2 linked regions of the Mytilus edulis genome follow. The protein of the gene in region 1 purifies or fractionates together with the protein of each later gene. This does not show direct contact. Links are inferred from orthologs where the notes say so. Each region holds a gene or a part of one and is shown on either strand. Other genes may lie near its edges.

What was found.
Region 2: the proteins of myb-related protein A-like (region 1) and protein lin-52 homolog purify together in Drosophila melanogaster (affinity purification with western blotting; 3 studies listed by BioGRID, with this or other methods). This does not show direct contact. The link is inferred for Mytilus edulis from reciprocal best matches to the Drosophila melanogaster genes Myb and lin-52.

The regions. Positions count from the first base shown.
Region 1 is NC_092350.1:20,930,402-20,938,390, reverse strand, and holds the start of myb-related protein A-like, read right to left. Parts: upstream 3,123-7,989; 5' UTR 3,045-3,122; coding exon 2,998-3,044; intron 1-2,997. Other genes in the region: uncharacterized protein, read left to right, coding at 5,976-6,020, 7,177-7,254, 7,768-7,977. UniProt on the Drosophila melanogaster protein: DNA-binding protein that specifically recognizes the sequence 5'-YAAC[GT]G-3'. Component of the DREAM complex, a multiprotein complex that can both act as a transcription activator or repressor depending on the context.
Region 2 is NC_092346.1:42,566,692-42,574,307, reverse strand, and holds the start of protein lin-52 homolog, read right to left. Parts: upstream 3,117-7,616; 5' UTR 3,087-3,116; coding exon 3,071-3,086; intron 1-3,070. Other genes in the region: probable methylmalonate-semialdehyde/malonate-semialdehyde dehydrogenase [acylating], mitochondrial, read right to left, coding at 6,595-6,702, 7,316-7,414.

The sequences.
Region 1 (7,989 bases):
CTTAATTTTGAGTTACACTCAACAAAGCACCAAAAGTACACTAAATTGACATTATTCATAGCACTCACACAGTAATACATTACACATAATTCATAAATTGAACATATAAGAGAATACAAAGTCTTAACCAATGTGCAGGAGATGAGAAGCAACATCTCCATACTCGACTGGAGTAAGCTCATCATTCTGTAACCTTGTTTTCAGTGTTTGGAGTCTGTCATCTATTTCCCTTTACTTCCTCTTTCTTGGAATACATTTCCCACCAGCTCTGTACTATATCAATGTGAGAGCACTGAAGGCTTCTTCTTGTCTCAACAACCTGATCATACTGATGATGTTTAGGTGAGGTGCATTTACTAATTATTTTTTTAGTTATTTTTTTAGTTTACTATGCAAATTTAACCCTCTAAATGGTTTGTTGTTCTATGACCTTCTGTTGCATAGTGATTCCACAGACTTTGGTTGTTCTCTACCCAGTAGCTGGTTACATAGTCAGAAAAGTTAAGTGTTGGTGTAGTAGTATCTGAATCATCGATGTATTCCAGTGCATTAAACCAAATATCTACAATTGTATTGGGTGGTTAAACTGCAGCTCTACGAACATTAAGTTGGTGAATGTCTCTCTTTTCACTGTATTCACTCTGCACACCATGCTTCTGTGCATTTCGCCAGATACACTGAGTGTAGTGAAAAAGGCACCCTTTTATGCTGATTCCTGGGAAGATTGAAGTGGCTGCATTTCTGATGGCTATTTTGTAGTCGAGGAATATCTTGGCTGGTTGAAGTAGGATGTTAAATTGGTTACATAGATCTCGAATAAAAGCTTATCAGAGTTCAAAGTTAATTGGCTTGACTTAATCTATTAGGCCAATATAAAATGTACACTTATCTAAAATGATTTATTACTTTAAGCATTACTTTTGATATTATGTTCATTTTTAAAAATCATAATTTGTTAAAATAATGAAATTAATAAATTTTTTGAGGCTGAAGTTGAAAGTTTGGGTATCTATTAATTTTCTTTTTAAATACGTTTTTTACAGACTTTTAAATGTTTTTACTTCTTTTTCTTTTCTTTTCCAATGCTTTTACTTCCTTTTCTTCTAAATAGTTTTTTTTCTACAAATTCCATAAGATTAAAATAATTAATTTTATAACTTAATGCATGTTTTCAAACAAAAAAAATCCCATTATTTTACATTTAAATTTTTTTTTAAATTTAATTTCAACAGGTAAATTTACCTTTCACCCGATTAGACACTAATGACTAAACCAACATATCTTGCAATAACAACATGTATTGTTCTACCACTAATCCGCCATGTAGGAATAGCCAGAATAGTAAAATACAAAATGTAGGAATAGCCAGAAGACACCAAAATTTTAATAGGTGAAAATACAATACACAAGGATATAAAGAGCACAAAATTATTGATTTCCCAAAGTAGACATCATAAGGGGCATCATAAATTGACAAAACTTTGAAAATAGGTATATCCCACAGATTTCCAAGTAATTTGGAAATAAATAATGGGCATTGAGATAAAATAAAAAAATGTTTATGTTTGTTCACATCTACAGTCATTGGACAAAAGTGAGTTCCCAGTCAAAAAAAGACCTATCATTTCAACTAAAATCGATATTTTTCAAAAAACTATTACCAAGTAACTATACATGCTATATGAGCTATTTTCTAAATATAGATACCAAAAGATGTAGAAATATCTGAAGTTTTATTGTTTATTTGGTTATAATATTATTCATGCTCATTTTAATTTTCTGACTAGATGAACACAAAGAAAGATATTTCTTGAAAAGTTTGCTATAATTCTAACCAAATTAAAATCGTAAAAATTTGCATTTGTGTATAATACATCAGATGAAGAAAACAAAACTCAAGAAAATTATGACTAAATAAACAATAAAATTTCAGACATTTTTACATCTTATGTTATCTATTTTATAAAAATTGCTCATACAGTTACTTGGTAATATTTTTTTGAAAAAATATCGATTTTGGTTGAAATGATAGGACTAGTAAGACCCAAACTGGAATATAGTTGTAGTGTCTGGGACCCCCATATGAAAGAACAACAGATACAATTAGAAAAGGTACAGTCGTTATGTACACAACAACTACGATTACACGAGCAGTGTCACAAACATGCTAAATCAGTTGAAATGGCCACCACTAGCTGAGAGACGCTTAAAAACCAGACTTATTTTATTTTATAAAGTAATACATTGTCTAGTAGCCATTCCATCGCATATTTGTGAACAAACAGACAGCAGAACAAGACAAAATCATAAGACATATAGACACATCCAAACTTCCAAGGACACATACAAATGGTCATACTTCCTGCGAACAATTATTCAATGGAATTTACTACCACAAACTGTAATTGAAACCACCACTGTTGGCAGCTTTAGAGATCGACTAACACCAGCGGTTCTCTCTAGCTTTAAATAAACAAATTCAAACAAAACATGTACATATATTTTTAATCACAATCTGTAAATACAAACACTCCAATTGTTATAAAATATTTTTATAAATTTTGTATAAATTTTTGTCAATCATGCATGCGCAACAACATGTATTCTTCAGTATTGAAGCCTTGTTGACCTTAAAGAAGAAGAGACTATTTTTGAGTGAGGACTCGCTTTTGTCTCATAGCTCAGACTGTACATGCATTCATGACAAACTGACCATTTTAAAAAATAGTCAGTTTAGGACAAACACCCATTTCTGTGAGTTTTCATTTATAAAAAAACAATTTATTTAATTACAGAAAATGTGGTAATGTTGTAATTAAAAGTCTTTTTGTTGATAACAGTTTGAAGGCTAACATATTTTTTCTAAGAAAACATGAAACAGTCTGAAACTCTTGGAATAAAAGATGAGTCTGCATATTTCCTTTAAATAAAAATTTTAAAGCAATATTTTCTCCATCTGTTTTCCACGAAATTTGCATCATAAATGTGATAATTTACCATATTTGAATGCCTTGGTAGTGAGACAATCTATACACAAAGTTCATTATAAATCTCTTAAAATATTAAACGCTGGAAATCTTTGACAGAATCCACGTGAATGGCACGTGCGATTGTTTACATTGTGACGTAATCAATCAACGTCGCACCTGTCAAATGTTTTGTTCTATTATTGTTTCTGTTGACGCATTATTCTATCATTGTTTCCCCGATTTGCGTACAATGCCAATTGCATTCTTTTGTTCTATCATTATGTATTAAATGTATGTGTTGCAAAAAAGGAAGAAAGAGAAAACAACATAAGCAAAATGACAACATGAAATATTTCTGTTTGAATTTGTTGAAATTACCTGTCTTCCAGCCATTCAAGCATGCCGATTGAACATCCAAAAATTCATCGGAACTGCCATTCTTGGTTGTCACAAAAACAGTGTTAATAAATGCTTTCTAGAACACAAGAACTAAACAAAAACGGAAAAAAAACAGCTGAAGAAATGACATCAATGGCGGTTAAATTGCGCGGTCGGAATATCCAGATATGATATCTGAAATTTGATTGGACAATGAATATTTCTAAAAATAAAATAGGAACCTTCATTTTTAGATATGAGGACAACCTTATCTCTGTCTTCGATTTCTCATGAGACTACTATCGGATCAGGAAAACGGACAGAAAGTCACAAACTTGATAGAACAAAAAGTCACAAATATTTTTTTGACAATTTTTTAGATATATTTTGAATATTTTCATTTAATTACATACACCCCCCCCCCCCATATATTTTATTTTTAAGTTAAGGAAATTTCTCATAAACCTCGATAAATGAAAACGTATTAAATTTTAATCAAGCAAAGGATGTGAATATTGAGAAAATGAAGCCATTTAGGTACCAAGCCACTTTGACATTTTGTTTTCATAACAACTATTTTATCATTATATATTTATTGAATAAATTTTAATTACATAGTTGCTTTATATATATAAAACTTTTAAGAAAAATACCCAAAAAATATTTTTGAAATAAGTGTTTTTGAACAAAGAATAATAATCTCAAACAAAATTGTGTTTTTGTTTTTGTTTTGTGACTTTTTGTCCATGACTTTTTGTCCTGTGACTTTCTGTCCTACATTATCGCAATTTTGTCCGAGTTGCCATGTATTCACACAATAGATTAGTAATATTGTAATCATATATTGTACAGTCTGCATTATATGTCTCTGTTGTCAATAATGAAAACATATATTTCGTATCATATTCAGGACGAGAACAAGTTCACAATAAATACAATAGGTAGGTTGATGCAATAGAGGCCATCTGTGATGATGGTTGGAGAAATTTGGAATGCCACCGGAAAAGGAGGGTATATTGGATAGGGATAGAAATTTTGCCTTGCAACAGGCCACCTACGGACCCCTCAAAGAGTTGTTGCAAGGGTTCTTAACGTGCAAAGAGCGTGGCACTCTCTTTACACGAGGCATCGGATTTAACGTCCCCCTTCTGACCGGACGTGACTGCGAACTTGATACATCCCGCACAGCCAAACGGACGCCCCTCTTCGGCAAGCGTTTTACTGCCGGTCGGGAGAAGACCAAGCGACCATATTTCTATACCCCAGTCACCCTTGGGGATGATTTGTATAGTAAGAATGAAGTATTACTAATAAATGATTTATTAATTGAATAAATAGGTAATCAATTCCAAAACGGCTTGCCATAGAATTTAAAAATTAAAGATTGAATTCATAATATTAATTCTAACAGAGACATATAAATATGTCTCTGATTCTAATCAATAAAAAAATACAAACTTATTTATAATATAAAAAAGGACTATTCATTGAAAAAATATTTTTTAGTATATTGAAAAATAATTTTTCTATTAACAAATGATATTTCTTCTATAAACAAAATTGAAACGATTTATTTTTTTAATAAATAGAGAATAAATTCCACAACGGCTTGTCATATTGTATAAAGAGTCTTTTATTGTGAAAATAATACCATAGAGGCCCCTCATGGGGGGGTCCTAGTAATCACATAATCACCATTTTTTTGCCAATATAATCACATAATCATTAAATATTTGCTTATCTTTAGTAATCAAATAATCATAAACTAAAAATACAGTCCTAGGTAATCAAATAATCATGAAATATTTGGCTTAATAATCAAATAATCATTAAACAAACGGCCAAGTAATCACATAATCAAAAACCCCATGAGGGCCCTCACCATACACCTTACAAAGATGACTGTTTTATTTTAGAACAACCCTTTTTAGCAAAATCTTTATATTTTATGTTTAACCGCAGAAAATATTGTGTATAACGGAATGTTTTTTTTCTTTAAATGTGATGTAAAAGTTTTATTTATTCATTTGTAAATGAATGTTAGAATAAGTTTTAAAGCAAAAGTGTCTCATAAGTCAGTCATGACTGGATACCGATATTTTAACTTCGATTTAAATTCTTATTTGTATTTTTATACTTATATTATTATGTATGATATTGTTCAGTATTGGTATGTGACACTATAATAAAATATTCTGTCTGTCTGTCTGTCTTTATTTTAGAATTGGAAAATAAGTTAAGAGTTGACATATTAAATGTAAATTTGTTCCTCCCAATATAGATTAAATAATATGTTGAAAAATGGTACTATATTTTCTACTTCACGAAAAAAGTTTTAAAGCAAAATGTAAATCATAAAAATTAACTATTCGTTGAACTTTCAGAATGTAATTAACCTTCCAATGCATTCTAAATCCTTTTTTTCATTTTTGTAGATCATACATGTCTCTAGTTAACTGTTTAAACTATATTTATAAGATCTTATAAGCATTCGATGCATATAAACAGTATCATCAATATGCATGGCCTAGCAACTGGTTACCATATGTTTATAATTTTTTAGATACAGTAAATCTACCTTTCGGAAGGCTTTGTATCTATTCAATCTAGCATGAAGAATGAGTGAATATGAAGTTGGAATACACATCACCTGAGTATCTGGTGTTTTATGTTGTAAGATTTTCTTTCACTATCATACTCATAGGGAAATCTTAATGTTAAATTTTGTTTACAGCACAAATCAGACTTGCCATGTCTCTCGAGTGAACCACTGGTGACTGGTTACCACAGCCAAGAGCCATACTACTTCAATTCTTGTCTTTGTAAACACAAATTTTATGTGGATCCAGGATTTTGAAAGGGTTACATATTAGTCAACGCTTGTATTAAAACATGTAAAAGGTCTATGCATTAACAATATAAGTTGTTCCATGAGTGGTACTGGGCACCCCCCCTTTTTTTTTAAACCCTAAATGATAGATCTGCCTCTGTCTCTGATTTACTTTACAACTTAAGTTTTAACACTTTAGTTCCATAATTTAGGTCTTCACCATTATATCTCTGTCCCACTGTAGTGTATTGTTATGCAGATGAATATAACTGGATATTAAGTTTGAAAATTGAACCCAACAGTGTTAAACATATAGCTAGAGACTGGTTCCTGTGCAGTAAAGTTTACCATGAAGTTCTCGTCACATGAAATTAAAACTCTGTACACTTGTACACTTATTTATTATGATATTTTAAATTTACATGCATACATAATAATAAGGGTGTGACCAAAGTATCTAGAATACATCGTAGGAAGGCGTCACAGAAAACAATAAAAAAAAAGCCATTCAAGACATCATCACTATTTGGACTAGGGCATGGTGTCCCTAAATAATACAGTATAAATAAGAAGATGTGGTATGAGTTACATTGAGACAACTCTGTAAGTCACAATGTATAAAAAGATAACAATTAAAGATCAAAGAAAGGCTCTCAACATGTAGCCTTTGCTCAAACCCAACAGTAAGCTATAAACATGATAAAGGGTCCCAAAATGACTAATGCAAAACAATTCCAACTGGAGAGTCAACAGACTATATATGAAAAAGAAGAAAATCTATTTAGAAAACAAGAATCAAGAAACATCTGTGACAACCACCCCAAACAACCCCAAACCAACCACTGACAAGCCACATATTCTTGTTGATTGATATATTTTGCACATGGTAACATTTCCTATTCAAAATTAACCTGAGTTTGTTCAAGGAACAGCTTAAAATAATGAGAGGACAAAAAATAGTTTTGAAGACTGAAACTCAATTTATTTTTGTAATTTTAGACCCTGTTTACTGTGATAGGTTATATAGATGGATGTTCTAGAGAGAGATCCAGGGTTGTTAGACGTGTAATAACTGAAGTAAGTATATAGGTAGACATTTGAAAAAAAATGTTCTGGCATCTAAATATATACATATGAATGATTATAATTATAAATTTCATTTTATTTTATTTTATTTTAATTAAATTTCTGAACAGCATCTCATGTAAGGACCAACATTATCCTGATTATTATTAATTTTTACTGAATTATTGCTTTTTAAAAATACCAATGATTTGCGTCTAGAGATATTGCTGTGAATGACATCTGCTCAAGACAGGAGTGGACGTGTGATATACATGTACACTTCTTATTTAAATGACAATCAGATAAAATAAGATTGAGAAATAAATTTGAAAAAATTCTAAAGTAAAAACGAAAGGAATTATTCATTTCAGTTTTATTGACTATTATAGTTGTATTTTCCTTTCTAAAATTATTGATTGACAAAGACAACTCTTAAACATGTTGAATATGAAGTAATGCATTGAGTTTATGATATTTGAATTGCAATTTCAGTAGAGTTTTATCAATATGTTGATTGTATTTTAGAAAATATATCCATTGTACAAATCTGTCCAAGCAGAGATTCCAGATACATGTATCCTAAACAAAGAGAGAGATATTTATGCCATCCAAGAGGACCAAAAATATAATGAGCCACCCAATAAGTGGTATTGTAATATCTGTGGTAAAGGGTTCATCGCTGAGTATTACTTAGATCTACACTTTACCAACAGACATAAAGAATACATTAGACAGGTAAAGATTACA
Region 2 (7,616 bases), on another chromosome or scaffold:
GTTCTTACATGTAATAGCACAAAAACCCATAATACGAGGATATATGAGAGTAAAACTGCAAAGGTTTTCAAAACTTTTGGATATCTATAAAATTTTATAGAGTATTGCCATACCATCCATATAGAAATTTACAGCCTGTAAAATCAACATGGCAAGGACATAAATAAAGAGTCCTTATTCCTTTTGCCAAAACTCAATGCAAGTATAATATCAATACTATTTTTTCCCAGACACCATCAGAATCTGGAATGGACTGCAACAACAACTAGAAGCTGCACAGCCCTTTAATCATTTACAAGGGGTTTGCAAGTTGTTCAGCTTGGATAGATGTTCAACCTTGTTTAAACATTGTTTTAAGTTGTCCGAGATTACTCTGTTGGACCCCAGCTTGTCTGGACAGTGTAATATCAGACTATATTTTAAAAAGCACCTTTTCACTTAGTCCGAGATTACTCTGTCGTCCAATGTGAACGGCCCCAGCTTGTCAGACAAAACAGTTGTTGGACGTCAGATTAATCTCGGACTACTATTCACTTTAGTTATTTGGCACTTCCCCGCATATAATTTGTTGTTCCCACATGGACTGTTCTATAAAGGAAGAAGAAGAAGTTTGGCGTGAACTGCAAAAACTGATTGGGAACACAGGAGTTTGAAATCCTATCAATAAGGGGGTAAAAATATACCAAAGTCGAGGGGTAAATTCGAGAGAAGCTCTACTGTGATAGTCGACTTTGGTATATTTTTACCCCCTTATTGATAGGATTTCAAACTCCTGTGTTGGTAACAGCTGAAGGGAAAACGGTAGTATTTAATTTTCCCAGCATTAGGTTGGCCTTTTGTGTACCCAAGGCAGGTGAAGGAAGTCAAATTAGCAGCGCTGTGATTGGATGTAAGGGTACAATATATTTTTTATTTATCTATGAATAACTGCAGTGTGTATATTTACAACATAAATTTTGAAACCTATTGAAATATTTTCTAGAGAATTATTTGAAAAGACTTGCAAAATTTCATAAATTTGGTGCAAAATGACGGTGGGCATGGATAACATAAACAAGCTCCGTTGGAAGTTGGTCATGATACTATTTGGCTTTAATTTTTAAAACACAATAATAAAGTACTAACACAACATATAACTGTTTTATCCAAGTTTTTATCTTAAAAAGTTGTAAATTTAGAAAATGTTAATATTGTCGCCTATGGCAGAATAAATAGTACCGTTTTCCCTATACTGAAGATAGCAAGGGAAATCAAAGTCACTAAGACTTCAATTCTTTTATACTATTTTGAAGCTTTTGATTAGTACATTTGATTTTTATCCCAAAGAATAGAAATTTTTCACTGAGAACAATACTGTGTTGAGAAAAGTGCTGAGTCATCACGATAGGTCAAATTGATTGGTAATGATATAAAACTTTATTCTAGGATGTCAATACTAACTATATTGTGTAAAATGCACCATATTATAGTTCTTTTGTATTTGATTTCACCTTTCGCAATGATTTTTTCAATTGGAAACACCAGAATTCAAGTCGCGACAAATATTTTTTACTGAAATGTTTGCCTTTTTTGCTGCGTAATTCCCTAAATGTATCACTTGGGTATTTCTGTAAACATTATCTATTAAAATGGGAAATTGTCTGGTTTAGTTTGTACTGTTTATGGAATTAGGCAATATTTGGTCACATTGGAAGCATTTTCAGTGTTAGAATTGTTCATCTAAGAAAAAAAGAGGCCCACTTGAGGCTAAATTTACATAGAATTTATGCTCTCCTGTGTAAAGAATTGTTCACATTCTTGATAATTCATGCAGCAAATATTTCAAAAGTGCTTCATTTTGTAGTTTCTTTCTTTTATTATATCAGACATTAATAATTTTTCATTTCCTACTGTTTGAATGGACTTTTGGTGGAAATTAATACTCCCAAGGGATATAATTCAGCTTTTTCATTGATTAATACAGGCAACAAATGCAACTTTACAGCTGAGTATTTTGCATATTTAATGTTTAAAGTGTCTAATATCTTTGTTTTCATCATCTCAAGACAGAATAGTAGATTTTATAACAAGCTCTGAAATTTTTAACCACAATATGGCATATACTAAAGCATGGAATGGAGATTAGTATGAAAAATCTTGAATTTGTGCATTTGTTGTAAATTTTTGATAAAATGAATACAAATTGAATGGAACTGTCCATTTTATCTGTTTAAATGGAACTATTTATCATTCTGTTTGAATAAGATAAGATATGATTGGATACAGGTTGTTTATTTAGGCTTTTCTGAAAGAAGTAGAAAATGAGGCAAACCAGCATGTGGGGGTGGGGACATAAAATGATCTATGTTTCTTTAAGTACTGGGAACATACAAGTATTTATTATAGCCAAGGTTTTCACAATAGCCCAGTATTGCAATCATAATGTCATAAGAATTCTTTATATCTTTATGTCACAGTATAGGGAAAACGGTAGTATTTAATTTTCCCAGCATTAGGTTGGCCTTTTGTGTACCCAAGGCAGGTGAAGGAAGTCAAATTAGCAGCGCTGTGATTGGATGTAAGGGTACAATATATTTTTTATTTATCTATGAATAACTGCAGTGTGTATATTTACAACATAAATTTTGAAACCTATTGAAATATTTTCTAGAGAATTATTTGAAAAGACTTGCAAAATTTCATAAATTTGGTGCAAAATGACGGTGGGCATGGATAACATAAACAAGCTCCGTTGGAAGTTGGTCATGATACTATTTGGCTTTAATTTTTAAAACACAATAATAAAGTACTAACACAACATATAACTGTTTTATCCAAGTTTTTATCTTAAAAAGTTGTAAATTTAGAAAATGTTAATATTGTCGCCTATGGCAGAATAAATAGTACCGTTTTCCCTGAAGACAAGCTCTTATAAGTCTAAGACTTATGTTTATGGGCGCTGTGAGAGTTTTGTGTAGAACAGATATAAAGATTTATAATGCAGTAATGATTCATATAATATTTTCCTTAAATGGATAATGTTAACATGTATTCATTATGACAAATGTATTGTTTTTGACTTTCAATTTACCCGCATTTGTTGTCATTTTTGCAGAAAATAGTAATATTAGAGTCAAAATCGGTGACGGATTTGTAAACTAACCTAGACTAAAACCAATAAAATAAAATAACTGACAACGGTCGATAAATCACATACAATCCTATCTAAAATTAAATCTATGAAATCCCTTATTATTAAATGAAATTTGTCATTACACCTTACACACAGGATTAAAATACAGCCATGTAATCTAACTTACAAGAAATTCTTTATTGGATAATGATAAAATCTGCAAATGTTGAGACAGTTCAATTGAATAAAGATAAATAAGTGATTTGTTGTATTAATTAAGTTTGTTTTTACAAATACTGAAAATTTGTTTTTTGTTAGATTCTACTTTTCAACTTTGTCATATTGTGACAGGATTGCTTCCCTTAGAACATATTTGTAGAGTACATGCTCTCCGGTTACAATATAAGTGGAGATCACTCTTGTAGTAAAATTTTGATATACAATGTAGGAATGAAAATATTTTTTTTCTTTATTTTAGCACTATTAAGAACACAAGTTTGGTGACACCATTTATTCTTTTTATTTTCTAAAACCATTTTAAAAAGCATATCTTTTCATATTTCATTTCTTTATTCTTTCTAATAGATTTATTTCATGAAAAATCCTTCTTGTAGTTTCAAAAATAGCACAGTGACTCAAAATTTTATTATATTTTGCAAAATCATATGATAAATTCAAGGTTTGGCAAAGTATAAGAAAATTTTATCTTGTGAAATCTTTAATAATGATACAACTTTAAAAATATTATGTGTGAACTACCAATGTACTGGTATATATGTCTCTGTATATGTTGTTTATTTAATTTTTGTATTTGTATTTATATTTGGTATCATTTCTTTATTAGAATTTACATCAGACAAGAGTAATGGTAATTTAAAATTATATCTACCAACGTAAGTAACTTGACACATTACTTAATTCAGGTTAGATATTGGTTCAAATTGACCCAGTTGTTCAAAAAGAGGAGATATTTGAACAATTCATCATAATTTAGGCCTTTTGTGAAAACTTCATATTTGCAGCAATACTTGAGTGTTAATTTTTCAGAGATGCTGGGTGGCATCAATGGATGCAAATTTGAAAGCCAAACATTTGTTATGAAATTGGCAATGTTCTTGCCCAAATCTTATTTCATTTCACCAATAATCACAAAAGGATCATTATTTACTAGGCACTCCAGCTCCCTCCATCAATAAAAGTGGCCACCACAAAATGTAGTGCAAAATATTTTAAGGGTATTATGTTCCTTTAAAGCTAAAATCTGGTGACTGGTATATCTTTGGTATTCTGTAAAACTTATAATGGTCATTTAAATTATCTGATCAACATCCATCCATGTATATCTAAATTGCTGTTCACTGTTCTTGTTCGTGTGATTGCAATCAGAGGTATGAAAACTTTGTTGTCTTTAGGTGTCTTCTTAAAGATTTGATTCCTTTTACATCCAAATGAGCTAGTCAGTAAGTTATCTCCTTTCCATAAAATATTGTCTTACTATTAAACTCCTGTTAACCCATCATTTAAAACAAAGAACAGTTTAATTAAACTAACTCTCAATGAAACAAGAATGTGTCCAAAGTACATGGATGCCCCATCCAAACTCATTTTCTATGTTCAGTGGACCGTGAAAATGAGGTAAAAACTCTTAATTTGGCATTAAAATTAGAAAGATCATATCATAGGGAACCTGTGTACCAAGTTTCAAGTTGATTGGACTTCATCTTCATCAAAATCTACCTTGACCAAAAACTATAATTTGAAGCGGGACAGACGAAGGAACGAATTAACGAACAAACGAACAGACGCATAGACCAGAAAACATAATGCCCATAAATGGGGCATAAAAAAGGGCTGTATTTCAGACATGATCTGAACTACATGACTTAATATACATGTATAACTAAAATAAGACTGAAATTTCAGTTTGTTTGATAGAAATTTAAGACAAGTGGAAATACCCTGGACCATTACTGCTGAAATCAAGTCATTTGGCAGGCATATGCATCCTCTCTATAATCCCATATGGTGCAATAATAAAATTACATGTATACTTCATTATCAAGTAGCACTTACAACGATTTAAGAATTAAACACAGATTTACAGTTTGTATTTCTTTTTAAATATGCACCCATGCCAAGAACCTACATTTGTATGTGCCTGTCCCAAGTCAGGAACCTTGTCAGTAGAAGTATATCATATACTAATACTTTTTTTCTATTTGGAGAATTGGGTATTGATGTCAGGTCTTAGAGTGTTAGTCATATTTATTCACATGTTGGATGGTTTATGGCTTGAAGTATTGTAGACACCTTTTAATGTTGAAGACAATTTGTTACTCTCTAAATGTCTTTTTTTTAATTGGATTGTTGTCTGATATATACATTTTGTACTTGAACATCTCCCCTTATTCATATCTGCAGATGTATAAGTGAGTCACACATAATGACACATTACAGCCTACCAATATGAAGCTTGGTGAACAAATTACCAAGAAGCACAGGTTTGTAGTTGTTTGAAATTATGTGATGAAAACTTCATATACATGCATCAACCATTGTCAATGGAAAAACATACATGTGTAGGCCAAACAGGAAGTAAAAAGTGAGATATCTGTAAATGTGTCACACAGTAAAATTCTCCAATATGATTTTTTTTTGCATTTTTGCACCCGTTCCAAGTCAGGAGCCTTAGTCTTGTCTGGTTTGTTTTTTTAGTTGATTTATATGTTTCAGAGTTTAATGTGACATCCATTTCACTAGTACTAGTACATATTGTTGTTTAAAGGGCCAGCTGAAGCCTGCCTCTGGGTGCAGGAATTTCTTGCTGTATTGTAGATCCAATGGTGGCCTTTGGCTGTTTCTGCTCTTTGGTAGGGTTGTTGTCTCTTTGACACATTCCTTATTTCCATTCTCAATTGAAGGCTATATATCCCCTTTCCAGTATACTGAGAAGTAATTTAATTTCACAGTTTTCCTTATTTCACATCAGAGAAGATCAGAGTTTGACATATTCATGGCGTTTTATATTTATGATAAAATATGGTTCATCATAGTGTATGACTTTTTTGAGTAATAAAACTATATAATTAATCAGTACTCCAGCATCTTAGAAAATGAAAAAGAGACATGATATCATTCTTTATAAGTGGTTTATTTACAAATGTGAATGTGTATAAATATTTCGTTCATCATTTTATAAAATAAATGATTTAAAAGTATCATATAAATTCCATAACAATTCTGTATAATCTGATAAATATACAAAATGCAAATGCTTATCACTTGTATAAATCTCAATAAAATACATATAAAAATGTATATATTAATAGCACTTCAAAAACAAGAAATTTTGTTCAAGTGAGCAAGTCTGAAAATACTACCATCAACTTAAATTTTCTAATTCATCAATGCCACATCTATGCATATCTGATTATAACAGTTTACCAAATTCCCAAATTAAATATTATGCAATGTTTGTTTGTTTATTTCATGATTGGCATGGCGTATGGACTAGCTTTGGACGATAAATCTGCATCATCTGATCTCCACATCTGTGTGACTGTTTTTAACTGTGTGTAAAAGTTTACTCCCTGTAAAAGATATGTTATGTGTTTTACTATAACTTTATTATACAAACAAAAGGCATTGTAAGTGAACAATGCTATAAGCAGTTACATGAAAATTATTTGGATAAAAATTAGCCAGTTTTTTTTTTCAATATAAAAATTTTGTTCTGATTTTACATTTCAATTATATGCATACAACATTTTCCTATTTTATGATTTTCTGCATTTCAAAGTATTCTTGTTCTAAGAAGAAATTTGTAAACTCTCTTGTTCTGTTTGATCTGATTAAAAAAAAATATTTAAATTTCTGTTTTGTTCACTCATCGTCGAAATATACACACAACATTCTAGATTTGGGCAAAATTGCTTTTTTCAGAGAAAGGAAATAACTATTGAAGCTTGCTAAAGATTTCTTTTTTTTTTCAAATTCAAAAACAAATGTAAATTTCAAATTTTAAAACATTTTGTGGTTTGATTCAAAAGTGAAGGTAAATGATCCTCCTACCCATAAATATTATGCAAAGATCATTACACAATACTGTATTTGTTACTATCAATATTCATGATGGTAACTGATTCCAAACCAATAAGAGTCATTAATAGTTATTGCTATAAATGAGATATGTATAATACTTACAGCTTTTCCATAGAAGTTTTGGTCACCCTTGAATGATCCTCTAGAACCAGTGAAGGAGAACATAGGTAAAGGCACTGGGATAGGTACATTCACTCCAACCTGTTTATAAAAAGATATTAAAATAAAGGACAGAGCATAAAATTACCAAGTTGAATTATATATAGGAAACCTTATGTCTTTCTTAGTCTTCTTTACTGTTGAGAAATAGATTATCAATTTTGGACAGCATACCAGTTTATTGTAATATGCTAGATAATTAGTATTGTTACAGTAAAATATACACAAAATATATAACAAAGCA